4 linked regions of the Anolis sagrei genome follow. The protein of the gene in region 1 interacts with the protein of each later gene in a pairwise test. Links are inferred from orthologs where the notes say so. Each region holds a gene or a part of one and is shown in the gene's direction. Other genes may lie near its edges. The genes, in order: POLR1C, CCDC33, TSC22D4 and POLR2J.

Evidence for each region.
Region 2: the proteins of POLR1C (region 1) and CCDC33 interact in a two-hybrid assay, tested with the Homo sapiens proteins (2 studies listed by BioGRID). The two-hybrid records come from large-scale screens. The link is inferred for Anolis sagrei from reciprocal best matches to the Homo sapiens genes POLR1C and CCDC33.
Region 3: the proteins of POLR1C (region 1) and TSC22D4 interact in binary tests that used the Homo sapiens proteins (3 or more experiments, as listed by UniProt). The two-hybrid records come from large-scale screens. The link is inferred for Anolis sagrei from reciprocal best matches to the Homo sapiens genes POLR1C and TSC22D4.
Region 4: the proteins of POLR1C (region 1) and POLR2J interact in binary tests that used the Homo sapiens proteins (3 or more experiments, as listed by UniProt). The link is inferred for Anolis sagrei from reciprocal best matches to the Homo sapiens genes POLR1C and POLR2J.

The regions. Positions count from the first base shown.
Region 1 is NC_090021.1:49,747,952-49,755,058, reverse strand, and holds the start of POLR1C (DNA-directed RNA polymerases I and III subunit RPAC1), read left to right. Parts: upstream 1-4,102; 5' UTR 4,103-4,147; coding exon 4,148-4,216; intron 4,217-5,179; coding exon 5,180-5,251; exon of another isoform or gene 5,252-5,271; intron 5,272-5,862; coding exon 5,863-5,970; intron 5,971-6,839; coding exon 6,840-6,972; intron 6,973-7,094; coding exon 7,095-7,107. Other genes in the region: protein YIPF3, read right to left, coding at 3,557-3,652. UniProt on the Homo sapiens protein: DNA-dependent RNA polymerase catalyzes the transcription of DNA into RNA using the four ribonucleoside triphosphates as substrates.
Region 2 is NC_090029.1:300,477-307,505, reverse strand, and holds the start of CCDC33 (coiled-coil domain-containing protein 33), read left to right. Parts: upstream 1-4,026; coding exon 4,027-4,365; intron 4,366-7,029.
Region 3 is NC_090026.1:2,044,066-2,051,041, forward strand, and holds the start of TSC22D4 (TSC22 domain family protein 4), read left to right. Parts: upstream 1-3,970; 5' UTR 3,971-4,415; coding exon 4,416-5,159; intron 5,160-6,976.
Region 4 is NC_090031.1:24,263,185-24,270,372, reverse strand, and holds the start of POLR2J (DNA-directed RNA polymerase II subunit RPB11-a), read left to right. Parts: upstream 1-4,162; 5' UTR 4,163-4,218; coding exon 4,219-4,271; intron 4,272-6,550; coding exon 6,551-6,640; intron 6,641-7,101; coding exon 7,102-7,188. UniProt on the Homo sapiens protein: Core component of RNA polymerase II (Pol II), a DNA-dependent RNA polymerase which synthesizes mRNA precursors and many functional non-coding RNAs using the four ribonucleoside triphosphates as substrates.

The DNA.
Region 1 (7,107 bases):
GTTCCTTAAAGTTCAGATATTCCTTCTAGTTGAGGACATTTAGATCCATTAGATCAGTGGTTCTCAACCTGTGGGTCCCCTTTTGGCCTATAACTCCCAGAAATCCCAGCCAGTTTATCAGCTGTTAGGATTTCTGGGAGCTGAAGGACAAAACTTCTGGGGACCCACAGGTTGAGAACCACTGCATTAGATAAAAATAAAAGGAAGGAAGTCCAATGACTTTGTGAACTCCTGCAAGCTGTTTTAGGTTGAGGAAAAGTAAATCAGAACTTGGGGGAAAATTCACTAGGCTCAAAAGAAGGTGAAATTGTCTCCCTAGTCTCCTGGACAGTCTTTTCACTGGAAAAAATCCTAACTTTAAAAAAAACAACAACACCAAACCAGTGCACACCAGGGGTATATGCATACGGTTTCCAATATAGTCCCACAATTGCCCTCTTCTGACCTAAAGCTTTTCTATAGTGATTAATACTGTTCTCACATTTTAGGATGGGGGAGACTAAATTAGCGATTCTGTAGTTGTACCCTGCTGCTATAAGAACAAGATTACTTTGAGAATTGGAGACAAATCAATGTCCCCCATCCGCCAAAGGCTTCAAACCCTCTAGAAATGTCACATTTCTGTGCATTACCATAGGAGGTCTAAACGTTTAAAACATATGTTGGCAGAGTGGAGTTCTGGGATGGTTTGCAGCACAAAACTCCTCTTTCCACCCCACAAAAACCACTTATCCCATCAATGTTTTGTGACAAGAGGTTTCTGGGAATGTGTGCTGAAGCAAGAGATCTTACTCCTGATTTCAAATTGAAACCATTTTATGGATCTGAGAACAAACATTAGAGGCATGCCTTCTATTTTCAAGACCGTTACAAACTAGTGTCAAAACAATGCCTTTAGACAAACATAGTATCAAACCCAAATGGCTTGCTTGAAGTTGTGGGAAATCTTTGTTTTTCCAGATACACTGGACTGTCATCCCCACAATATCTTGAAGGGCAAGGTAGATCAGAGATTAACCCAAACCAGACTGACAGTCAAAAGTTTATTGCTTCATAGCGAGCGTATATTTCTACAATAAATAACCTTTCAGATGGAAGAGATATTTCTACAGCCTATAGTGCTATGGAGACAGGAAGGTTAGTTAAGTTAGACCATGGAACTAGTGATTATTTAAGATTATTATAAATTCATGGTATAACTAAAATTGTATGGAATTGAATAAAGTCTATTGAAATGGAAGCTATGAAACATGCATATGATCAGGTTGGGCAGGCAGAACAGACTGCCATTTGAAGACCTGGGGTCAAACGGATAATCAAAACATTCAATTAGTTAACTCAAGAATTTTGGCAGAAAAAACCTAATAATCTTTTCTATTTGTACTAGAAAAATTATTGTTTATGGGATAACAATATGTGGAATCCTTTTAACTCATGAATCTGTCCAATTCTGTGTGTAATTCGATGACTTCAACATACAATTGCAAAAAGAGACCATTTAAAGAGGAAGCCCTTTTCCAAAATGGGAGAAAATTTAAAAGACTAAATAAAAGGTATCATCCACATGAGTTAGAAAGTGGCACTTGCACATATGTCTTCCATAGCTGTTGCAATTGCAGGGCTTTTTCAGTTGTTTGTGTAATCAAAGCTGACAAGGCAATAGCTCCACAACAATAACTAAATCTGTGCCTAAAGAAGAAAGCCTAGAGCAAGTGCATGCCATTGGAAAGGTCAGCCACACAAATGTCATTGCAGAGAAGCTGTATTGACAACTCAAATCCGACAATATTACTCAAATTTAACATTTCTGTAGTTTTATCTTACAAGTATATTACAGGCATGAATAAGGAGAACTAAATCAGCCTTATGATGTTTTCATAATTTGAACCAATACTGACATCACTTCAAAGTTCCTGTTAATAATGGGTACATCTCAACTGTAGTTAATGCAATTTGACACCAATGTAATTACTGTGGCTCAATTCAATAGAAATCTGGGAGTCATAGTTTGGTGAGGCATCAACACTATTCAGCAGAGACCTTTTAAAACTCCAGTTCCCAGAATTCCATAGCATTAAGGCATGGCAGTTAAAGTAGTTTCAAGCTACATTTAATTGTTGCATTGGAGATACATTCAATATTATAAATAGAAATACCACTAATAATAAAAATTAGTGCAATCTATCCGGAGATCAGCACTGAGGCTCATCCCTTTAGTATCTAGAATAAAGCTTTCCAAAATGTCATGATATATTATAGTGTCTTGGTTGCAGTGTGTAGGTGTGTTATGTGAATGTAATGAGAAACCTCTGAGTATGTAAAGTAAGCATAATGATATATATTTAAAACTATATGGTTATAAAAGGATGGTTTAAACTCTGGTTTTCCAGTGAAACTGAATTAGTGGCACAAAATGATGCATGCTCCAATTCTGTGGAACTCATTGCCTCCATACATTAGAGCATTGTCGGAGTTGCGACCTTTTGTAAAGGCACTCAAGACTTGGCTGTTTGGTTGTGCATTTAAGTAATCAGATCTAATTTGCCAAATAGTCACTGTTGAATGTTTTTATGTTGAATGTTTTTATATTGTGTAAATGCTATTTTAGATTGTAAGTCGCTCGGAGCACCTTGGTGGAGAGTGACTAATTAAGAAATAAAGTGAAGTCTAAAAAGTGTGTCACCATGAAATGTTTGGAAAGCTCTGCTCTAGAGCTTCCTTCGGCAACAACCCCTTTGATCTCTTATTTCAAAAACTTTATTTGTTATGTTTATTTTTCTCTCTCTCTCCTTTATATATTTTAAAAACGTAGCATATTCACCCGAGCATAATGGGTCATTCAATCTAATGCACATTTTAATTTTTAGCTGTGTAATTTATCCAAAAAAAAGACAAGCATTAGACTTGGGCAAATAATGTACAATTCTGTTATCATTACATTAAAAACACCAGATTTGGGGTTGGCCAAATGAACAGACAGTTACCAGAAGGCATTTCCATAAGTTAGTGCTTAGAACTACTTGAACAGGACACTGCTATTTTTACCCGTATGTACTCAAGTGTAATGCACCATTGAATCTAACAAACACATCAATTTGGACTATATAGCCATTTTAGTCCCCAAAAGGGGGAGCATTAGACTCAAGTAAACATGGTATTTCCTAATACATTTTAGGAGCACCTAAAGGAACTCCAGCAGGTTTTGAAGCTAAGAAGTTACCTCTCAATAGGTGGTTATCTACTAGAGGACTCACTCCTAACTAAGCCAACTAAATAAGTACATTCTCAAACACTCTCTCCTACATTGTTCTATATGACAGGACCTGATCCCAGATTATTTGCTTATCACAGATCATCTGGCAATGGAGACTCATATAATCCAGTTCAACCTGGGGTCAGATTCTGGAACATAAGGACAGTGTAGAAGGGACCTTACAAAACAGGGGCTTTTCCTGCCTGACGTTTTTGAAGCAGAGTTGGCGTCCAAAACACCTGGAAGGGAGGGCCAAGTTTGCCCCTGCCTGGTCTCTGGGCTAACTCCAATGCCGAAAGGTACCTGCATGTTGTCCTCGAAGGCCCCCCACTCGGCCACAGGCCCAGCCCTGGCTCCTCCAGCCGCCGACCCCGAGGGGACGCCTCCGGATCCGGACATCTTCCCTCCGGCTGCGAGGGAGCCTACGCTCCCGCTTCCCTGAGAGGAGAGGCAGGAAAACAGGGCCCAACTGAAGGCGAAGCGAGAAGGACCCGGATGTGACACCCAGCGGCGCTGAGGACGTGGAGGCGCGGCCCCTCTCGCGATATTTTACGGCAGGCGGCCTGTCGCTGGCGCCATCTTAGTTGTCCTCCTGGACAAGCTTAGCGACAACGGGCGAAAAAAAGGCAAAGTTTGTCCTCTCTGTTAAAGAGTGGTGCCTCATAAAACTACAGCTCCCATCATTAATGAGTATTGAGAGCCTTGTCAGTGAAAGGGGTTTCAAGCAGCATGAATTCTACAGCGAAGGAGCGCCACACACAATATGGCGTCCAAAAGGTTACGCGCCGCGTCACGTGACCCCAAGAGAGCGTCGCTTCTGAAAAAAAAAAACCAAAACATCCGGCGGAAGTTGGAAAGTTGATCTTTTCTCCTCCGGCTCACGTTGGTTCCAAGATGGCGGCGCCCGGGAGCGTGGAGGAGATGCGGAGCCGAGTGGTTCTGGGCGAGTTCGGAGTCCGCAACGTAAGTCGGGAAGGGAGAAAGGGAACCAGCAGCAGCAGGGGGGGAGCGAAGGGGCACTTCCAGGAGGCCTGCCTTGGACCCAATCCCCGCCACAGCCAGGCCAGGGAAGACAGCTGGTTCAGCTCACAGAGGGGCCACCAAGGAGGAATCAGTGCCGCTTGGCGCCACTTTCACAGCTGGGGATCAATGCTGTGGCATCTTCCACTCTAAACCAGACCGGACAGGCGAAAGCTAAAGCAGGCCTGGGCCAAGTTGGGCCCTCCAGGTGTTTTGGACTTCAACTCCCACCATTCCCAACAGCCTCAGGCTTGTTCTCCAAACGCTTGTTCATTTTAGTTGCCCTCCTCTGGACACATTCCAGCTTGTCAACCTCTCCCTTCAATTGCGGTGCCCAGAATTGGACACAGTCTTCCAGATGTGGTCTAACCAAGGAAGGAATAGAGGAGTAGCATGACTTCCCTGGGTCTAGACACTGTACTCCTATTGATGCAAGCCAAAATCCCATTAGCTTTTTTTTGCCGCCGCATGACATTGTCGGCTCATATTTAACTTATTGTCCATGAGGACTCCAAGATCTTTTTCACACGTGTTGCTCTCGAGAATTTAATGGCCTTGTAGCTTCAGAAACCATATGCAAATTAGTAGATCAAGTGAGACCTACTAATTGGGCCCTCTAGGTCTTTTGGACTCCAAGATATCTTATTATTCATGTCAAAGCAAATACAGGTATTCCATAAACTGAAAGATCCCAAAACATTTCTGATCTCAAGCAAGCGTTTTGGATAAGGGATCCTCAACCTGTACAGTATAACTTTCAGTGCTCAGTTGGCCCCTTGTGTCCACAAATTCAATTGTCTATGGCTTGAACTAGGGGGATTTTCCTAGCTCTGTCTCAGGCTGACCCTATGATTTTCTCTGCAATGTATATGTTCCAAGCATCACCTCTTCCCCTCTTTTTTTCAGGCCCACACAACAGACTTTCCCGGGAATTATTCTGGATATGATGATGCTTGGGATAGAACTAAGTTTGAAAAGGTGAGCGTACTTCTTCTTAGGTATCTTGAGGGGCTAGCATGATAGATCTTGATAGTAACCAGTAGAGATTTAGAACCTTTGTTTTGTTTCTAGAAATTGCTTTATCTATATAGTATATATTTGTTCAGCCAGTAGTACTGACATGTCTATTGTGAGGTGGAGGGATTTATGGTCCAGGTGTAAAAGATACAGGATAGATTTCAATTCAGCAGGGATTGATAATTGTTGTATCCTGCCTCAAGCTATGTGGAGAGGCAGGTAACAAGTACAATGCATTGTTGTTGTTGTTAAGTGCACTACACAAAGAAAATTCCCTTTGACCTTGGTATCTCTGGGGCCCACAAGCTAAATCTGGAGGATACATATGGCCTGGGAACTGCATTTTGCCCATTCCTGCTGTAGGATTCTCTTTTGCAGAAATACACCTAAAACAGACTGGAAGAAAGTAATTGATGTGAGGATTTGATTGTAAGCTGAATATATTTTTTCAGTGGTGTCGATTACTCAAACACATCCCTGATTGCGAAGTTTTTTTTACTTCTTGTTCTTTTCCAGTGAATATATTTTATCCTTAAGACTACGCCTGTTTTGAAACTGTTTGTTTCTTACAGAATTTCAGAGTAGATATCATCAGCATGGATGAAAGCACACTGGAGTTTGACATGGTGGGGATTGATGCAGCAATTGCTAATGCTTTCCGACGCATCTTGCTTGCTGAGGTATTCATTAGATTAGTACAATGAGTAATAAGGCACTTTTGGGGCATTTCTCTGGGTTATGACTTAGTTGGCTGGGTTTGGCTGCAATTACATTTTTACAAGTACAAGCTGGTCATTCTGAGTTATTCCAGAAGTTTCCCTTAGAAGTAAATAAAATGTTGAAGAAATATTGAGAGGGATGTGTGGTACTGTTTCATTATCCTGATGGAGGCCATTAATGTCATTATTTTATATGGTTTTATATATATGGTTTATGTAGTGTGTTTATACAGTGTTTTGTTTATTGTTTATTTGTCTGGGTTGGGGATGATGTTGTACTCTTGTATTATGTAATTTCTGTTTTTTAACCATTTGTTTGCCACTTTGTGTCTCACCTGTGAGAGAAAAGCGGATAAAAATAAATAAATAATAATAATGATAATTTCTGCTTCTTATAATTTTTACTGCTTTAGACTAAACTTGGTGGAGTGTGCAAAATCCTAATTTGCAGTCATTTAACTATAAGTAAAGTCTTTACAATTATCAGTGGTACGTTCTAGATGGTTTAACCTTTTCTTGGTCAGACCTTCAGGAAATGCATGGCAAATGTGTTAAATTGCCTAGTTTCCTTGTGGAGGCTTGATATATTGCTTAGAAATAAGGGAGTTTTGCCTCTCCTAATATAGTAAAGTAAGACTTTGGATTTACACAGTAGATTTATATTTTAGATCTTCTCGATACATGGCATGAACAAATAGCATTATACCTTCAGAATCCCTAAACAGATTCAGCTGAAATAAATAGATGTGTTTATTTATTGTAGACCGATGCTTTGCGATACTGTGGCTGAATATCTCTGCTTAGCAACAGATTTATTGTCTCTTCCTTAGGTGCCAACCATGGCTGTTGAGAAGGTCTTTGTATATAATAACACCTCCATTGTGCAGGATGAAATTTTGGCTCATCGTTTAGGACTGATCCCTATCTGTGCAGATCCTCGTCTCTTTGAATATAAAAGTGAAGGTAAGATAGCCAAGTATGCATTTGTAGGGGGACCAAAACTGATGAAGCTATGTGCTAAAAGAAGTTAATGCCAGAGCATAGGCTGTGTTTGGAGTTTTCAGTCTCTTTCTTTTCTTCTGCAGAGGATGAATGTGA
Region 2 (7,029 bases), on another chromosome or scaffold:
ATGGCCTTCAGGGCCAGAAATCCATCTCATTTCATGAGAAGGTCTTGGGCATTATGCTTAACGAAGCCCAAAATATAAGCCAGGGGATGGGAACCCTCAAGATGCAGTTGGACTTCAACTCCCAGCGTTCCTTATCACTGGTCATACTGGCACAATAGAAGCTCTACTTAACAAGACTTCAAATAGTCTATGATTGAAGGCAGGTATGGGCATATCTGGCCCCTTGGGCTCTTTTCTCAGGCCCTCCTCTCTCTCACCATCCTATCCTACCTTCGTTCTTTCCTTCCTTCCTTCTTTCTCCTTCCTTTCACCCTTTCGCATTTCCTTCTTTCCCTCTCTTCCTCTTTCTCATTCCTTGCTTCCACCCTTTTGTCCTTCCCTCCCTTTCCTCCCTCCTTATTCCTTCATTCCCTCTTTCGCCATTCATCCTTCTCTTCCACCCTTTCATCCTTACTTTCCTTTTGTCTTTCCTTCCTTCCCCATTTGTCCCTCTTTCATCCTTCCTCTCTTTCCTTCCTTCCTTCCTCCCCTTTTGTCTTTCCTTCCTTTCCTCTCTCTTTCTCCCTCTTTCTCCTTCATTCCTTCCTTCCTTTCCCTTTGTCTTTCCTTCCTTCTCTCTTTCCTTTATCCTTCCCTTCCTTCATCATTCCACTCCTTCCTTCGTTCCATCATTCTCTTCCTCCCTTTCATCTTTCCTTCCCTCTCTCTTTCTCCTTCCTCCCTTCCCTTTTGTCTTTCCTTCCTTCTCTCATCCCTTCATTCCCTCTTTCTCCCTCTCTTTCTCCTTCCTTCCTTCCTTCCCCTTTGTCTTTCCTTCCTTCTCTCTTTCCTTTATCCTTCTCTTCCTTCATCATTCCGCTCCTTCCTTCGTTTCATCATTCTCTTCCTCCCTTTAATTGTTCCTTCCCTCTCTCATTCCTTCCTCCTTTCCTCCCTCCCTTCCTGATCTCTTTCGCCCTCCCTCTGTCCTTCCCTTTCATCTTTCCTTCCCTCTCTCTCTTTCTCCTTCCTCCCTTCCCTTTTGTCATTCCTTCCTTCTCTCATCCCTCCCTTCCCTCTCTCATTTTCCCTCTCTTTCTCCTTCCTTCCTTTCCCTTTGTCTTTCCTTCCTTCTCTCTTTCCTTTATCCTTCCTTCAACAGTCTGCTCCTTCCTTCGTTCCATCATTCTCTTCCTCCCTTTCATCGTTCCTTCCCTCTCTCATTCCTTCCTCCTTTCCTCCCTCCCTTCCTTCCCGACTTCTTTCTCCCTCCCTCTGTCCTTCCCTTTCATCTTTCCTTCCCCCCTCTTTCTCCTTCCTCCCTTCCTTCCATTTTTGTCTTCCCTTCCTTCTCTCTTCCCTCCCTTCCCTCTCGCATTCTCCCCCTCTCTCTTTTTCCTTTCTTCCTACCTTCCTTCCTTTCCCCCTGACTTTCCTTCCTTCTCTCTTTCCTTTATCCTTCCCTTCCTTCATCCATCCCTTTCTTCCTTCATTCCATCCTTCTTTTCCCTCTTACTTCCTTCTTTCCTTCTCTTTTTCCTTCCTCCTTGCCTTCCTCCCTTTCATCCTTCCTTCCTTCTCTTCCTTCTCTTCCTCCCTTCTCTTTTTCCTTCCTCCTTCCCTTCTATCCTTCCTCCCTTTTGTCCTTCCTTCCTTCTCCCTTTCCTTCCTCCTTCTCTCCCTCCCTCCCTCCCTTCTCTTTTTCCTTCCTCCTTCCCTTCCATCCTTCCCTTCCTCCCTTTTGTTCTTCCTTCCTTCCTTCTCTTTTTCCTTCATCTTTCCCTTCCTTCCTGTCCTCCTCGCAGGGAGTGTGGTCCCCAAGTTAGAAGGTTGGCCCGGCCCTGATTTAAGAGGATAGAGAACGTTGATGATGGGAATGAATTCCTGGTTTTGAGGCCCAGAAGCTCCGACATGGATTAGGTCATTGTTGTGTTTCCTTTGATCTGGTCCCACCAGGGGATTTTCAAACGGTTCACGGATGGTGGTGTCATCCTTCACCTGCCCCCCTTTCCCTGTTTTCCTGGCCTTTAGTCATGGTCCTTCCAGTAACGGAGACGGGGCCAGGGTGGACTTTCCCAGCAACACGGCACTACGGCGAGTCATCACAGCTGAGAAGAAAATGATGTGATGTTCTTACTTTATGCTGATATAGAATCATAGAATCATAGAATCAAAGAGTTGGAAGAGACCTCATGGGCCATCTAGTCTAACCCCATTCTGCCAAGAAGCAGGAATATTGCATTCAAAGCACCCCCGACAGATGGCCATCCAGCCTCTGCTTAAAAGCTTCCAAAGAAGGAGCCTCCACCACACTCCCTCCGGGACAGAGAGTTCCACTGCTGAACAGCTCTCACAGTCAGGAAGTTCTTCCTAATGTTCAGATGGAATCTCCTCTCTTGTAGTTTGAAACCATTGTTCCCTTGTGTCCTAGTCTCCAAGGAAGGAGTAAACAAGCTTGCTCCTTCCTCCTCCCTGTGGCTTCCTCTCACATATTTATACATGGCCCTCATCATATCTCCTCTCAGCCTTCTCTTCTTCAGGCTAAACATGCCCAGCTCCTTAAGCCGCTCCTCATGGGGCTTGTTCTCCAGACCCCTGATCTGCTCCCTCCTCCCTGTGGCTTCCTCTCACATATTTATACATGGCTATCATATCTTCTCAGCCTTCTCTTCTTCAGGCTAAACATGCCCAGCTCTTTAAGCCACTCCTCATAGGGCTAGTTCTCCAGACCCTTGATCAGGTTCGCAGCTTGGGAGTGATCCTGGATTCATCGCTGAGCCTGAAGCCCCAGGTCTCGGCAGTGACCAGGGGAGCATTTGCACAGCTTAGGCTTGTGCACCAGCTGCGCCCGTATCTTGGGAAGTCTTGGCCACGGTAGTCCACGCTCTGGTTACATCCCGCTTAGACTACTGCAACGCTCTCTACGTGGGGTTGCCTTTGAAGACAGCTCGGAAGCTCCAACTAGTCCAACGCTCGGCAGCCATGATTTTAACAGGAGCGGAGCGCAGGGAGCATACAACCCCCCTGTTGCGCCAACTCCACTGGCTGCCGATCTGCTACCGGGCTCAATTCAAAGTGCTGGCGTTGGCCTTTAAAGCCCTAAACAGTTCCGGCCCAAGCTACCTATCTGACCGCATCTCTGCCTATGAACCCACCAGGAGTTCTTGGAGTTTGAAGCCATTGCTCCATTGCGTCCTAGTCTCCAGGGAAGCAGAAAACAAGCTTGCTCCCTCTTCCTCCCTGTGGCTTCCTCTCACATATTTCTACATGGCTATCATATCCCCTCTCAGCCTTCTCTTCTTCAGGCTAAACATGCCCAGTTCCCTAAGCTGCTCCTCATAGGGCTTGTTCTCCAGACCCTTGATCCTTTTAGTCGCCCTCCTCTGGACACATTCCAGCTTGTCAATATCTCTCTTGAATTGTGGTGCCCAGAATTGGACACAATATTCCAGATGTGGTCTAACCAAAGCAGAATAGAGGGGTAGCATTACTTCCCTAGATCTAGACACTAGGCTCCTCTTGATGCAGGCCAAAATCCCATTGGCTTTTTTTGCCGCCACGTCACATTGTTGGCTCATGTTTAACTTGTTGTCCACGAGGACTCCAAGATCTTTTTCACACGTACTGCTCTCGAGCCAGGCATCCCCCATGACCAAGAGATATGACCTTGGGGGTCCCCCATGACCAACAGAATATTACTGTATTTTCTGATGGTCTTTGGCAACCCCCCTGATACTCCTTCATGACCCCCCCCCCGGGTCCCGACCCCCTATGATGAGAGACATTAACCTAGAGATTCCTCGTGATAACATTTTAATCAAACCTGTGAAGAATCCAATCTATAAAAGTCACAATTGCAAATGTGGAGGGATAACTGTCCTTACCTTTTTGGTTTTCATTTCACAAACAGGTTTCTGCAAGAACGACAAGAACCACGATGCCCGCCTGCGCATCGAAGCCTTGCGCCTCCGTGGGTCTTCTCTGAAGGGGGCCATCAAGGCCGGCGAGGCTTTCTTTGCCATCTACCCGCGCACCAACCAGCCGCGCATGAACCTGTTTGCCGGCCGAGACGAAGACGTGTATGGCTACAGCGACATCCTGGTGCTGCTGCGAGTGGGTCCAGACGATCTGGCCATGCACTGCGGGAGGATGGCCTTCACCGTGTCCTTCCACGAGCACCGACCAGTGGCCCAGAGGAAGAGGCCCATCACGCCCCGCCGCCTCTCGCCGTTGCCTCCCACCAAGGCGGAGGAGCTGCCCGAGGGAGAGGAAACCAGTTCCCTGTCTCCTTCCCAGTCTCTGCAGGTCCCTCGCTTGGTCTATCCAGTCTCCACCTCAGAAACTTCCACTTCGCTTTTATTCAGCATGGAACCCCACACCCCCCAGGTTAGGAGAAGAGTGAATTTTTGTCACAACATTTCGTTTCTTGGGAAGGGAAAAAGGAATTGGCATGACATCGTTGCTGGAGCATTGAACTCCATCAGCATTATTGTCCATGATATATATGGGATTCATCGTGAGATATCTTGGAGATGGGACCCATGTATGATGTATACGGAACACATCCTGAGATATCTTGGAGATGGGACCCAAATACCATATATATGGAATCCATCATGACATATCTTGGAGATGGGACTCAAATACGATATATGGGATACATCATGAGATATCTTGGAGATGGGACTCAAGTACAATACATATGGGGTACATCATGAGATATCTTGGAGATGGGACCCAAGTACAATACATAGGGAATCCATCATGAGATATCTTGGAGACGAGAGTCAAGTACGATATATATGGGATACATCATGAGTTTTCTTGGAGATGGGACCCAAATACGATATATAAGGAATCCATCATGAGATATCTTGGACATGGGACCCAAGTACCATATATATGGAATCCATCATGAGATATCTTGGAGATGGGACTCAAATAAAATATATATGGGATACATCATGAGATATCTTGGAGATGGGACTCAAATACGATATATATGGGATACATCATAAGATATGTACAATACCAAAGTACAATACATATGGGATACATCATGAGATATCTTGGAGAAGGGATCCAAATACATATGGAATACATTATGAGCTTTCTTGGAGATGGGACCCAAATATGATATATATTGGATACATCATGAGATATCTTGGAGATGGGATCCATGTATGATATCACATCCTGAGATATCTTGGAGATGGGACCCAAGTACCATATATATGGAATCCATCATGAGATATCTTGGAGGTGGGATGCAAGTACCATATATATGGAATACATCATGATATTTTTTGGAGATGGGACCCAAGTACAATACATAGGGAACCCATCATGAGATATCTTGGGGATTGGATTCAAATAAGATATATAAGGAATACATCATGAGATATCTTGGAGATGGGACCCAAATACGACATATAAGGAATACATCATGAGATATCTTGGAGATGGGACCCAAATACGATATATAAGGAATACATCATGAGATATCTTGGAGACAGGACTCAAGTACGATATGTATGGAATACATCATAAGATATCTTGGAGATGGGACCCAAGAACCATGTATATGGAATACATCCTGAGATATCTTGGAGATGGGACCCAAGTACCATATATATGGAATCCATCATGAGATATCTTGGAGATGGGATCCATGTATGATATGCACGGGAAACATCATGAGATATCTTGGAGATCGCACCCAACTATGAGATATACAGGAAACATCATGAGATATCTCAGCATGTATAGGGTAATTCTACACAAACATAGGGTGCATTTTAACTGATATGGAATTGAATCCTGGAAGATGTTGTTTGACAAGATCTCCAGCCTTCTCTGCCCAACCACATCAGTGCCTCAGCAAACTACATCATCAAGGATTTCATAGCATTGAGCAATGGTAGTGAAATTGAGGTCACACCAAATTAATTCTATGGAGTATATGCACCCACTCAGCCATGAAAACCCACTGGGTGACCTTGGATGAGCTCTAGAAAACCCTTAGGGCTAACTTAAGTTGGAAATGATTTGATGGCATCCAACAACAACAATAGGAAATATTCATGATGTAAAGGATGACATTATGCACAGGAACTGAAATGTATGTACAGTCAGCCCACTCTAGGGGTCTCTAGGTCCTCCAGAATGACTGTATCTGACCAAGAATGACTCTTGGTCAGATCTGGAGGACCTAGAGATTTCCAGAGAGAGATGTTCTAGGAATCTTTAGGTATTCCGATGTGACCTTATGGCAGTGATCCTCAACTTTCCTAATGCCATGACCCCTTAATACAGCCCCTCATGTTGTGGTGACCCCCAACCATAATGTTGTTTTTGTTGCTACTTGATACCTGTCATTTTCCTACTGTTATAAATCATAATGTAAATATCAGATATGCAAGATGTATTTTCATTCAATGGACCAAACTGGGCACAAATACCCAATGCACCCACATGTAAATGCTAGTGGGGTTGGGGGAGGATTGACTTTGTAATTTGGGAGTTGTAGTTGCTGGGATTTATAGTTCACCTACAATCAAAGAGCATTCTGAACTCCACCAGCGATGGATTTGAACCTAATTTGCCACACAGAACTTCCATGACCAACGGAAAACACTGGAAGGGTTTGGTGGGTATTGACCTTGCATTTGGGAGTTGGAGTTCACCTATATGCAGAGAGCATGGTGGACTCATCCAAACTTGGCACAAATACTCAATATGCACAAATGTGAACCTAATTTGCCACACAGAACTTCCATGACCAACGGAAAACACTGGAAGGGTTTGGTGGGTATTGACCTTGAGTTTGGGAGTTGTAGTTCATCTATATCCAGAGAGCACTGTGGACTCACGCAATAGTGGATCTTGACCAAACTTGGCAAAAATACTCAATATGCACAAATGTGAACACTGGTGGATCTTGGGGAAAATAGACCTTGACTTTTGGGAGTTGTAGTTGCTGGGATTTATAGTTCATTACAATCAAAGAACATTCTGAACTCCACCAACGATAGAATTGGCTCAAACTTC
Region 3 (6,976 bases), on another chromosome or scaffold:
TGCATAGAGGTAGCCTGGACATTCCATAGATAGGAGAAAGCCCTGAAGTTTGCAAAGTCAACCAGTGAGGCTATTTTGCATAGAGGTAGCCTTGACATTCCATAGATGGATAAAAGCCCAGAAGTTTGCAAAGTCAATCAGTGAGGGTATTTTTGCACAGAGGTAGTTTGGTATTTTGCATATAGGTAGCCTGGATATTCCAGAAATAGATAAAAACCCTGAAGTTGGCAAAGTCAATGCCTCCCAAACAGGGTGCGAGAAAGAACCCTTGTCTGTTGCAATTGGCAAGCTTGAATTAGCATTTGCGGAGCCCTGAAGTTTGCAAAGTCAACCCGTGAAGGTATTTTGCACAGGGTTAGTTTGGTATTTTGTATAGACCTCTATGCAAAATACCAAACTAACCCTGTGCAAAATACCTTCACGGGTATTTTGCACCTAGCCTGGACATTTTCATAGATGGATAGACAGACTCCCCTTGCTTCCGAACAAACCTCTGAAGATGCAATTATTGTTGTTGTTATTATTGTTTTGATTACTGATGTATTGTGGGCTCGGCCTCACGTAAGCCGCACTGAGTCCCCAACCCATCCAAAACACAGACATGTGCTCTGAAGTTTGCAAAGTCAATCAGTGAGGGTCTCTGCATGGAGGTAGCCTAGCCATCTCCCAAACAGGGTGGGAGAAAGAACCCTTGCCTGTTGCAATTAGCAAGCTTGAATTACCATTTAAGTAGCTCTGAAGTTTGCAAAGTCAATCAGTGAGGGTCTCTGCATGGAGGTAGCCTAGCCATCTCCCAAACAGGGTGGGAGAAAGAACCCTTGCCTGTTGCAATTAGCAAGCTTGAATTACCATTTAAGTAGCTCTGAAGTTTGCAAAGTCAATCAGTGAGAGTCTTTGCATAGAGGTAGCCTAGCCGGTTCCCAAACAGGGTGGGAGAAAAACCCTTGCCTGTTGCAATTAGCAAGCTTGAATTACCATTTAAGTAGCTCTGAAGTTTGCAAAGTCAATCAGTGAGGGTCTCTTCATAGAGGTAGCCTAGCCAGCTCTCAAACGGGGTAGGAGAAAGAACCCTTGTCTGTTGCAATGAGCAAGCTTGAATTAGCATTTGAGTAGCCCTGAAGTTTGCAAAGTCAATCAGTGAGGGTAGTTTGCATAGAGGTAGCCTGGGCATTCCATAGATAGATAGAAGCCCTGAAGTTTGCAAAGTCAACCAGTGAGGGTATTTGCATGGAGTTAGCCTGGATATTTCACAGATAGATAAATAGATAGATCAATCGATAGACAGACTCCCCTTGCTTCTGAACAGACCCCTGAAGATGCCATTAGCCACAGATGTAGGTGAAACATCAGGAGAGAATGCTGCTGGCACATGGCTAGTACAGACCTTAAAAACTCAACAGCAACCCAGGAAAGCCTTCAAGAACACATTGTATGTGTGTTCATTCGTTCAGTCGTCTCCGACTCTTCGTGACCTCATGGACCAGCCCACGCCAGAGCTCCCTGTCGGCCGTCACCACCCCCAGCTCCTTCAAGGTCAGTCCAGTCACTTCAAGGATGCCATCCATCCGTCTTGCCCTTGGTCGGCCCCTCTTCCTTTTGCCTTCCACCCAGGAAAGCCTTCAAGAACACACTGTATACTAATGTTTATATGTCAAGATACTTTGAATCCCCTTTGGGAAAGAGAAAGAAGTGTAAATAAATGTAGCAATGTGGGGTGAAACTGTATTCATTGCATGGCAGGTATGGGCCAAATTGGTCCCTCCGTCCAGGTGTTTTGGACTCCGACTCCCACCATTCCTCACAGCCTCAGGCCCCTTCCTTTTCCCCCTCCGCCGCTTAAGCCCGTGTCTTTGTGAAGCAAGGGTAGATGTTGCAATTAGTGAGCTTGATTAGCATTAAGTAGCCAGGAAGCTGCAAAGTCAATCAGCGAGGGTCTCTGCATGGAGGTAGCCTAGCCATCTCCCAAACAGGGTGGGAGAAAGAACCCTTGTCTGTTGCAATTAGCAAACTTGAATTAGCATTTGCATAGCTCTGAAGTTTGCAAAGTCAGTCAGTGAGGGTATTTTGCATAGAGGTAGCCCGAACATTCCATAGTTGGATAAAAGCCCTGAAGTTTGCAAAGTCAATGCCTCCCAAACAGGGTGGGAGGAAAGAACCCTTGTCTGTTGTAATTGACAAGCTTGAATCGGTATTTGCGGAGCCCTGAAGTCTGCAAAGTCAATCAGTGAGGGTATTTTGCACAGGGTTAGTTTGGTATTTTGCTTAGACCTCTATACCTTCACGGATATTTTGCACCTAGCCTGGACATTTTCATAGATGGATAGACAGACTCCCCTTGCTTCCGAACAAACCTCTGAAGATGCCATTATTATTGTTGTTGTTATTGTTTTGATTACTGATGTAATTTGGGCTCGGCCTCACGTAAGCCGCACCGAGTCCCCAACTCATCCAAAACACAGACATGTGCCCTGAAGTTTGCAAAGTCAATCAGTGAGGGTCTCTGCGTGGAGGTAGACTAGCCATCTCCCAAACAGGGTGGGAGAAAGAACCCTTGCCTGTTGCAATTAGCAAGCTTGAATTACCATTTGAGTAGCTCTGAAGTTTGCAAAGTCAATCAGTGAGAGTCTTTGCATAGAGGTAGCCTAGCCGGTTCCCAAACGGGGTGGGAGAAAAAACCCTTGCCTGTTGCAATGAGCAAGCTTGAATTACTATTTGAGTAGCTCTGAAGTTTGCAAAGTCAATCAGTGAGAGTCTTTGCATAGAGGTAGCCTAGCCGGTTCCCAAACGGGGTGGGAGAAAAAACCCTTGCCTGTTGCAATGAGCAAGCTTGAATTACTATTTGAGTAGCTCTGAAGTTTGCAAAGTCAATCAGTGAGAGTCTTTGCATAGAGGTAGCCTAGCCGGTTCCCAAACGGGGCATTCCATAGATTGATAGAAGTCCTGAAGTTTGCAAAGTCAATCATTGAGGGTATTTTGCATACAGGTAGCCTGGACATTCCATAGATAGTTTGCAAAGTCAGTGCCTCCCAAACAGGGTGGGAGGAAAGAACCCTTGTCTGTTGCAATTGGCAAGCTTGAATCGGCATTTGCGGAGCCCTGAAGTTTGCAAAGTCAACCCGTGAGGGTATTTTGCACAGGGGTAGTTTGGTATTTTGCAAAGAGGTAGCCCAGACATTCCATAGATAGATAGACAGCCAGACTCCCCTTGCTTCTGAACAAACCTCTGAAGATGCCATTAGCCACTGATTGAAACATCAGGAGGGAATGCTGCTGGAGTCAATCAGTGAGGGTATTTTGCACAGTGAGGGTAGTTTGGTATTTTGCATAGAGGTAGCCTGGACATTCCATAGATAGATAAATAGATAGATAGATCAATCGATAGACAGACTCCCCTTGCTTCTGAACAGACCCCTGAAGATGCCATTAGCCACAGATGTAGGTGAAACATCAGGAGAGAATGCTGCTGGCACATGGCTAGTACAGACCTTAAAAACTCAACAGCAACCCAGGAAAGCCTTCAAGAATACATTGTATACTAATGTTTATATGTCAAGATACTTTGAATCCCCTTTGGGAAAGAGAAAAGGAAGTGTAAATAAATGTAGCAATGTGGGGTGAAACTGTATTCATTGCATGGCAGGTATGGGCCAAATTGGGCTCTCCGTCCAGGTGTTTTGGACTCCGACTCCCACCATTCCTCACAGCCTCAGGCCCCTTCCTTTTGCCCCTCAGCCGCTTAAGCGGCTGAGGGGCAAAAGGAAGGGGCCTGAGGCTGTGAGGAATGGTGGGAGTCGGAGTCCAAGCTACCTGGATGGAGAGCCCAATTTGGCCCATACCTGTGCGTGCTTCTTCTCTCTGGGCCTTCTTGGCCTTGCTTTGCTGGGCTCCGGGAAGGAAGGGGTTAAGGGGGGCTGGGCCAGCCTTGGGGGGAGGGCAAGGGAGGGGAGGGGAGGGGCAGGCAGTCAGCTGGTTGGGAAGGAAGGACTGACGGAAGGAAGGAAGGAGGGGCCGGACTGACTTCCTTGCTGCTGCTTCTGCTGCTTCGGGTGTCACTCCTCGGTTGCTTCGCCTTGTCAACAGCCTTGCCTTGGGCCAACCGAGGTCGCGGCCTCCCCTAGACAGACCCTCTTTTTTCCCCCTCCCCAATCTTCCCCTTCCCCAAGCCAGGCTTTGTCTATCTCTAAGCTCTGTTGGGGTCTCCCTGACCTTTGACCCCCTTGTGTTGTGACCCCGGCATGGGGTCGGCTTCAGGACTGCGTTGGTGTCTTGCTAATCATAACGATAGGAATTAGACTATACTGATATTCCACCCTCCTCTCTCCCCTCGCCAGGATTTGGGGACGATGATGATGATGATGAGGAGGACAACGACGGTGCCGCCTCGGTGAAGCCCCCGCCTCGTTGCCCCCAGGACCATGAGCGGCGGAGGCAAGAAGAAGAGCGGGTTCCAGATCACCAGCGTCACTTCGGACTACGAGCAGAAAGAAGGACGAGCGGACGCCGCAAAGGTTGGGACGGAAGCAGAAGGGGACGCTGGCCCGCGGGCCAACGGCGGCAACGGTGGGGCGGCCAGAAATGGCCCCACGGCCCCCACCTCCCCGTTGACCGCTCCGTCGCTGGTGTCCGGCTCGCGCTTCCGGGTGGTGAAGCTGGACCCAGGTCCCGGGGAGCCTTACAAGCGTGGCCGCTGGACGTGCCGGGACTTCTACGACGCCGAAGCCGAATCCCACCCCCAGCACCCCTTTGTGGGGCGGCTGGCCGAAGCCGGGCGACACCCGCAGTCTCTGGACTCCCGGCTGGAAGTGGCTGGACTGCTGACCCATCCTCAAGGGCCCTTCAGCCCGCAACCTCAGCGCAGAGGAGGAGGATTTGGAGGTGCCTGCGCCGGTTTGCACTCCCAACTGGTGTTGCCCCCAGCTACGTCCAGCCACCAGGCTCGCTCCCTCGGCGGAGGTCTCCCGGTTATGGTCCGGCCCCACAGGACTCCCCCCAGCCCGGTCTCCCTCCGCAGCCCCCTGGCCTCGGTCCCCAAAGAGGCCGGGGATCCCGGGACCCTCTCTGTTGGGGCCCCAACCGTGCCCACTTTGGTGGTGGAGGAGCACCTCCTGCCCAAGAGCGTCTCAAAGCTGATCCAGAGGGAGACGGATGAGCGACGCAAGGTGAGGCTTTGGGGTGGGCCTGGGTTTGGGGGGCAGGTGGTCCTCCACGTCCTCTGGTTGGCACCATCAAAGTCTTGGGAAGAATAACTCGAAAACATGGAACCGAGGAAGAATAACTGGAAGGCATGGAGCAATAACGGAGGAAGACTCACCCAAAGGCGTGGAACCATCATAGAGCCAGAGCTTCTATTATGGTTCCTCTGTCATGGTTCCAAGCCTTTGGGTGAGTCTTCCTCCATTGTATTGTCGAAGGCGTTCATGGCTGGAATCACTCAGTTCTTGTGGGTTTTTTCGGGCTATACGGCCATGTTCTAGAGGCATTTCTCCTGACGTTTCGCCTGCATCTATGGCAAGAGGAGAAATGCCTCTAGAACATGGCCCTATAGCCCGAAAAAACCCACAAGAACCTAGACCTCACCTCTGAGGATGCTTGTCATAGATGCAGGCGAAACGTCAGGAGAAATGCCTCTAGAACATGGCCGTATAGCCCGAAAAAACCCACAATAATCTTCCTCCGTTATGGTTGCATGCCTTCAAGTCCTTCCCAACTCAGGACGGCCCACATTTAAGGTTTCCCAGGCCAGATCTCCTTGCAGTAGCTTCCTTCCAAGGCTGAGAGAATGTGACTCTCTCCCCAGTGTGCGGTTTCAAATCCAGGCCTCATAGAGTTTTGGAGCAGGGTTCAGTATTCAAGCCTTTGGGGCCCAATTGATTTCAGGCAAAATTGTAGCTCTGAAGTTTGCAAAGTCAATCAGTAAGGGTCTCTGCATAGAGGTAGCCTAGCTGGCTCCCAGATGGGATGAGAGAAAGAACCCTTGCATCTTGCAATTAGCAAGCTTGAATTAGCATTTGAGTAGCCCCAAAGTTTGTGAAGTCAATCAGTGAGGGTCTCTGCATAGAGGTAGCCTAGCCGGCTCCCAGATGGGATGAGAGAAAGAACCCTTGCATCTTGCAATTAGCAAGCTTGAATTAGCATTTGAGTAGCCCCGAAGTTTGTGAAATCAATCAGTGAGGGTCTCTGCATAGAGGTAGCCTGGCCAGCTCCCAAACGGGTGGGAGAAAGAACACTCGCCTGTTGCAATTAGCAAGCTTGAATTAGCATTTGCATAGCTCTGAAGTTTGTGAAGTCAATCAGTAAGAGTCTCTAGAGATAGTCTAGCCGTCTCCCAAACAGGATGGGAGAAAGAACCCTCGCCTGTTGCAATTAGCAAGCTTGAATTAGCATTTGAGTAGCTCTGAAGTTTGCGAAGTCAATCAGTAAGGATATCTGCATAGAGGTAGCCTAGCCACTTCCCAAACAGGGTGGGAGAAAGAACCCTTGTCTGTTGCAGTTGGTAAGCTTGAATTAGCATTTTAAGAGCCCTGAAGTTTGCAAAGTCAATCAGTGAGGGCATTTTGCATAGAGGGAGCCTGGACATTCCATAGATAGATAGAAGCCCTGAAGTTTGCAAAGTCAATCACTGAGGGTATTTTGCATAGAGGGAGCCTGGACATTCCATAGATAGATAGAAGCCCTGAAGTTTGCAAAGTCAATCACTGAGGGTATTTTGCATAGAGGGAGCCTGGACATTCCATAAATAGATAGAAGCTCTGAAGTTTGCAAAGTCAATCAGTGAGGGTCTCTGCATAGAGGCGTGGAACCATAATAAAGCCAGAGCTTCTATTATGGTTCCTCTATCATGGTCCCATGCCTTTGGGTGATTCTCCCTCCGTTATTGTTGCATGCCTTCAAGTCCTTCCCGACTCAGGACGGCCCTCGCTTAAGGTTTCCCCGGGCCAGATCTCCTTGCAATAGCTTCCTTCCAAGGCTGAGAGAA
Region 4 (7,188 bases), on another chromosome or scaffold:
TTCCTTCCTTCCTTCCTTCCTTCTTTCTTTTCCTTGCTTCTTTCCTTGCTGTCTTCTTCCCTCCCTACCTCCCTTCCTTCCTTCCTTCCTTCCTTCCTTCCTTCCTTCTTTCCTCCCTTCCTTTCCTTGCTTCTTTCTTTCCTTCCTTCCTTCTGGCTTTCCTTCCTTCCTTCTTTCCTCCTTTCCTCCTTTCCTTCCCTTCCTTCTTTCCTTCCTTCCTTCGTTCCTTTCCTTCCTCCTTACCTCCTTTCCTTCCTTCCTTCCTTCCTTCCTTCTTCCCTCCCTACCTCCTTTCCTTTCTTTTTTTCCTTCATTCCTTCTTTCCTTCCTTCCTTCTGGCTTTCCTTCCTTCTTTCCTCCCTTCCTCCTTTCCTTCCTTCCTTCTTTCCTCCCTACCTCCTTTCCTTCCTTCCTTCCTTCCTTCCTTCTTTCCTTTCCTTGCTTCTTTCCTTGCTGCCTTCTTCCCTCCCTACCTCCTTTCCTTCCTTCCTTCTTGGCTTCCTTCTTTCCTTTCCTTGCTTACTTCTTCCCTCCCTACCTCCTTTCTTTCTTTCTTTCCTTCCTTCCTTGCTTCCTTCTTTCCTTTTCTTGCTTACTTTTTCCCTCCCTACCTCCTTTCCTTTCTTTCTTTCTTTCCTTCATTCCTCCCTCCTTTCCTTCCCTTCCTTCTTTTCTTCTTTCCTCCCTCTCTCCTTACCTTTCCTTTCCTTGCTTCCTTCTTTTTCCTTCTTTCTTTCTTTCCTCCCCTCTTCTCATATCTACCCCTTTTCTTTCTCTCCCTCCTTTCTTCTCTTCTTTTCCTCTTCTCTTCTTTCTTTTGTTCCCTCCCCTACCTTTCCCTCTTACCTTCCTTTTCTTTTTTCCCTTCCTTTCCTTCCTTTTTTCCCTTTCCCTTTCTTTCCTCCCTACCTCCTTTCCTTCCTCCCTTCTTTCCTTCCTTTCTTCCTTCCTTGTTTCCTACCTATTTTCCCCCTTTCTTTCCTTCCTTCCTTCCTTCTTTTTTCCATCCTGGTGCAATTTGGGGCAGGATGAACCACAGATAATGGTGTTTGCAGCGCTTTCACTCACTGCCACAGACTGCGACCTCCACGAATGACGAACCTGGGCCAAACTTGGCGCAATAACACCCCCCCCCCATGACCCACTTTATGTCCTGATGAGGTTTGGAAGAGATTGTACCATGGATGATGGGATTTGCAGTACCTTCACTCACTAATGGGGTTAGACCCACTTTACATCTTGGTGAGGTTTGGGGGGAGGATGGACCACGGATGATGGGATTTGAAGTACCTTCATCCACTTCCAGAAAGCACTGTGACTCCCACAAATGATTGACCTACAACAAATTTGGGGCACAGAACCCCCCCCCCCCCCACACACACACACTTTACGTCCTGGTGAGGGGTAATTGACCTTGAATTCTGGGAGTTGTAGTTCACCCTTATCCAGAGAGCACTGAACCCAGCCGACAAGGGATCTGAACTTGGCACACAGAGACAACATGACTGTGCCTAAAGGTTAGGAGATGATTGTCTTTGAAATCTGGGAGTTATAGTTCACCTGTATTAAGTGAGGCGTTCAAACTCCACCAATGACAGATCTGGATCAAACCTGGCACACAGACCCAACACAGACAACTTTGCCTACTGGAGGGGTTTGGGGGTGATTGACCTTGGCATCTGGGAGTTATAGTTCACCCATATTCAGAGAGCCCTCTGAAGCCAGCCAACAATGAATCTGGACCAAACTTTGCGCACAGACCCAACTGTAAATAATGACAGACTTTAGGGAGGACTGACCCACAATTTTGGGAATTGTAGTTCACCCACATCCTTATGCATTTTCTAATGGGAGCATTCATAAAAAACAAAAGCAAAGGCGCTCTCCCGAGTGCCCAGGATGTCCTCGCTTTCCGGGGCTTAAAGTCCTCCAGATGTTGGCACTGCTGCTGGTTTCCAGAGTGCCAGATGCTGAGTGAATGGGTGGGTGTCCGGATTACGCAGAGCTCACGTCAGGCAGATCCGGTCAGCGGACAGCAAAGCCCATAATCCTCGAGGAGGAGGAGGAGGAGGAGGAGGAGGAGGAGGAGGAGGAGGGCCGCATCAGAATGGGGAAAGGCAGGAGGTCGGCTCTAGGCCTTCCACATCTGCATCTATTAAATAATAGGCAGAAAGATAGAGACATTGATTTCAAGAGACACATATTTGGCCTCCTATCTATCTATCTCTCTCTCTCTCTATCTATCTATCTATCTATCTGTCTCTTTTTTGAAATCGAATCTGGAGAGATTGACTTTTAGGTTGATTTAGCATTCCCCTGCTTCACCAAATAGATGTATCTATAACTATCTATCTATCTGACTGCCTATCTGTCTCTCTAGCTATCTACCTATCTGATTATATCTATCTATCTGACTGCCTATCTGTCTGACTATTTGTCTGTCTATCTATCTATCTGATTATATATCTATCTGACTACTGATCTATTTATCTATCAATCTGACTATATATCTATCTGCCTAACTATCTATTTATTTATCTATCTGACTATCTATCTACCTAGCTATCTATCTATTTATCTAACTGACTATTTATTTATTTATTTGCATTATTTCTGCCATGCCCATATCAGCCAGAAGGCGACTCAGAGCGGCATACACAGTCGGCACAATTCGATGCCATAAAAATGCATACATTGATAAACAAAAGTAACCATTATAATGCATTTAAACATAAAGATAGGGCATAATAACAATTTTAAAAACAAAAAAACTATGTCCTCTCATTCAAGTCCTTATCCGTTCCATCGTCTTGGACCGTTACTGGGTCATTTTCCAATTCAAGTTTGTCTATTTATTCGGAGGTTCTAAATCTATCAATCTATCTGTCTATCTATCTATCTGACTATTTATTAATCTATCTGACTATCTATTAATCTATCTGACTATCTATTAATCTATCTGACTATCTATCTATCTATCTATCTATCTGACTGTCTATCTATCTGATTATATATCTGACTATCGACCTATTTATCGATCTATCAATCTGACTATATATCTAACTGCTTAGCTATCTGCCTATCTATCTATCTGACTATTTATCTGACTATCTAGCTATTTATCTATCTGACTGCCGATCTATCTATCCATCTATCCATCTATCTGACTGTCTATCTATCTATCTGATTATATATCTGACTATCAATCTATTTATCTATCTACTTGACTGTCTGTCTATCTATCCATCCATCCATCCAATCCATCCATCTATCCACCCATCCATCCATCTATCTATCTGACTATCTATCTATCTATCATCTATCTATCTATCTATCAGATAGACAGTCTGATAGATAGATAGATAGATAGATAGATAGATAGATAGACAGACAGTCAGATAGACAGTCAGATAGATAGACAGCCAGGGAGTGTGATAGCTAGAAACACATAGATAGATAAATAGATAGATAGTCATGTATAAAATTAGATAAATAGATAGATAGATAGATGTTCAGATAGATAAATAGATAGTCAGATAGATAGGCAGTCAGATAGATAGGCCAATAGATGATCTATATCAGATGATCTATATCTATATCAGATAGTCAGTCTATCTATCTGACTATCTATCTGACTGTCTATCTATCTATCATCTATTGGCCTATCTATCTATCTATTGGCCTATCTATCATCTATTGGCCTATCTATCTATCTATTGGCCTATCTATCTGACTGCCTATCTATCTATCTATCTATCTATCTATCTATCTGAACATCTATCTATCTATCTATCTATCTATCTATCTATCTATCTATCTATCTATCTATCTATCTATCTATCTATCTATCTATTTATCTATGTGTTTCTAGCTATCACACTCCCTGGCTGTCTATCTATCTGACTATTTATCTGACAATCTATCTATCTGTTTTTATGTCTGTCTACAGGCATGTAGCCGGGGGGGGGGGGCTCGGGGGGCTTCAGCCCCCCCCCCACCTCCGAAATCCTCTCACAACTGAAGTCCCAAAGACCTGGAGGGAGGGAGGAGGGAGGGCCCTGACCTGACTCCACGAAGAGCCTGCAGTACCGCCGGGGGCCTCCAGAGGGGGGGCGCGCGCAAGGAAGGAAGGCCAGAAGAGGCCTCACGCTCGCGCCCTTAGCGCGGAAGAACCGGAAGGGGCGGAGCCGGAAGCGCCAGGAAAGACCAGCGCCAGCCATGAACGCTCCTCCGGCCTTTGAGTCCTTCTTGCTCTTCGAAGGGGAGAAAAAGTGAGTTCCCTCCACCGGGATAATAGGGGCCTCCAGAGACCACCCAGGCCCACCCCCGCTGTGGCCAGGCAGGCGGGGCACCATCCAACCCGTCCCGACAGATGGCCGGGCTGTCTCTGTGGCAAAACTACCAGAGAAGCGGGCCTAAAGGCTGTACCTTGATAGAGATAATTATTTCATTCATATTTCATAGTAATATATATATATATATATATATATATATAGTATTATTATGATATCGATGTATTCTTATTTTATATTGTTATATTTTAATATTTTAAATTGTTATATTAATATTATATATATATTGTAAATTCTTATTTTATACTATATTTCTATAATTCTTATTTTATATTATAACATGCACATCTTTATTATTCTAAATTGCTATATTATATTATTTATTCTTATTTTATATTATTTTTATAATATAATCTATATACTTCTTTTATAGTATTACACCTATATCTTGTTTTATAGTATTATTTTATGTTACTATGTATTATTTTGTATTATATATAATATATATTATTTTAAATTGTTTTATTATTTATCATATTATAAATTATTTTATTTATTATATATAGTCATATTATTTTTATATTATAATATATATATATTTCATGATATTACCCCTATATCTAGTATTATAGTATTCTTTTATATTACTGTTTATTATTTTATTATATATAATATATTATTTTAAATTGTTATATTATTTATTATATTATATAGTCTAGTTTTATATTTTATGGTATTATATATGTTATTCTTTTTTATATTATTATATATGCATATTACAATATAAATATATATGTCTTGTTTTACATCATTACTATGTAATAATAGTTATTTTAAATTTTGTTATATTATTTATGATATATTTATATTTTATTTTATAGTATTATATATTGTTTCTATTTTATAGTATTTTGTAGTATTAGAATATATATATATTATTTTATATTATTTATTGTTACATATTATTTTATATTATTCTTACATATACTCATATTCTTATTTTTAATATATATTCTTTCTATTCTTATTTTATTATTATATTATGTATATATTGTATATTATCCTATATAATTATTACTCTAAACTATGTTATATTATTTATTAGATTGGATATTATTTTATTTTTCTTTTATACATATACCTTCTTTTTATTTCTATAATATAAATATATAATTCTTATTTTAAATTAGATTATTATTATTATTATTATAACTTTATTTGTACCCCGCTAGCATCTCCCAAGGGATTTGATGCGGCTTACGACAGGCCGGAGCCCAACACAATACAACAATACAATACATAGCAAATTAAAACAGTTAAAGCAGAAAACAATAACAGTAGCAGTACAACAGAACATTATTAAAAACTGAGCCGGCCAGAGTGAGGTACAGGGTTAAAAAGTGCTGAAGTGTCGGAGGGATATGGGATTAAAATATAAGTGCAGTGTGCGGTGAGGGTGATCTTGACTCTACTAAAGTGCTTCTGGGCTTTGGTAGTGGGGGTCCTAATCTGAGAAGGCACGTAGGAACAGCCAGGTTTTCAGGTTCTTTCTGAAAACCGCCAAGGTAGGGGCCTGTCTGAGATTTTTCGGGAGGGCATTCCAGAGGTGGGGGGCCACCACAGAGAAGGCCCTGTCCCGTGTCCCCACCAAACGCGCCTGCGACGCGGGCGGGATCACGAGCAGGGCCTCTCCTGATGACCGGAGTGAGCGTGTGGGTTCGTAGACTGTGATGCGGTCACGCAGGTAGGGTGGTCCCAAACCGTTCAGGGCTTTGTAGGTAAGCACCTGCACCTTAAATTGGGCTCGGAAAATAAACGGCAGCCAGTGGAGTTCCTTAAACAGGAGGGTTGACCTCTCTCTGTAATGGGCCCCCGTTAACATCCTGGCTGCTGCCCGTTGGACCAATTGGAATTTCCGAGCCGTTTTCAAGGGCAGCCCCACGTAGAGCGCATTGCAGTAGTCCAGTCTAGAGGTGACATATTATTTGTGGTTTTATCCTTACCCTTTCCTATTCTATTCTTACTGTACATTATATTATTTATTATATATTATGTTATTATTCTTTTATATCTTATGACCATCTTCCTCATGTTGAGGTGGGATCTCTTTTCCTGCCATTTGATCCCATTCCGCCATTGGATCCTTATTTCAAGAGAAAGCTATCTCCTTAAAGTGACCTCTCAAATATTGTCTTCATATTGATACTGAGCTGTCTATATATGTGCCTGAGGCTTTTCCTGGTTTATTTTCCTTCCAGGATTACCATCAACAAGGACACCAAAGTCCCCAATGCCTGCCTCTTCACCATTAACAAGGAAGACCATACGCTCGGGAACATCATTAAATCGTAAGTAAAGAGGGGTCATGATGATGAGGATAAGACACCTGCATTTTGCCATCAAGCCTTTGGAAGCTTCCACATTTCACTAAGGATGATGATGATGACAACGACGATGGCTCTTGCATTTTGCCATGAAAGCTTTGGAAGCTTCCCCATATCACAGAGAATTAAAATTTATTTATTTATCCTGTCAGAAGCGAGTTGAAGGTACAGTTATAATGTATTTAAAACCACAAATTTAATAACTTGGCATTGTATTAAATGTAGTAGGTGGTCTGTGATATGAGGTGAGAGGGAAACCAACTGTCAGATGGAACTTTGTTTGTAACCATACTGTATACTTTGAGAAATAAAGCCCTTCCAGTCAGTCTGTGAGGTAATTTCTTCTCTAGAAAACAACAGATCAGGACAAAATGTCCTTTGAACAGAAGCCGGCCACTTGGAGTGCCTCTGGTGTTTCCTTGCAGGCAGCTGCTGAAGGACCCGCAGGTGCTGTTTGCGGGCTACAAGGTCCCCCACCCGCTGGAGCACAAGATCATCATCCGGGTGCAGAC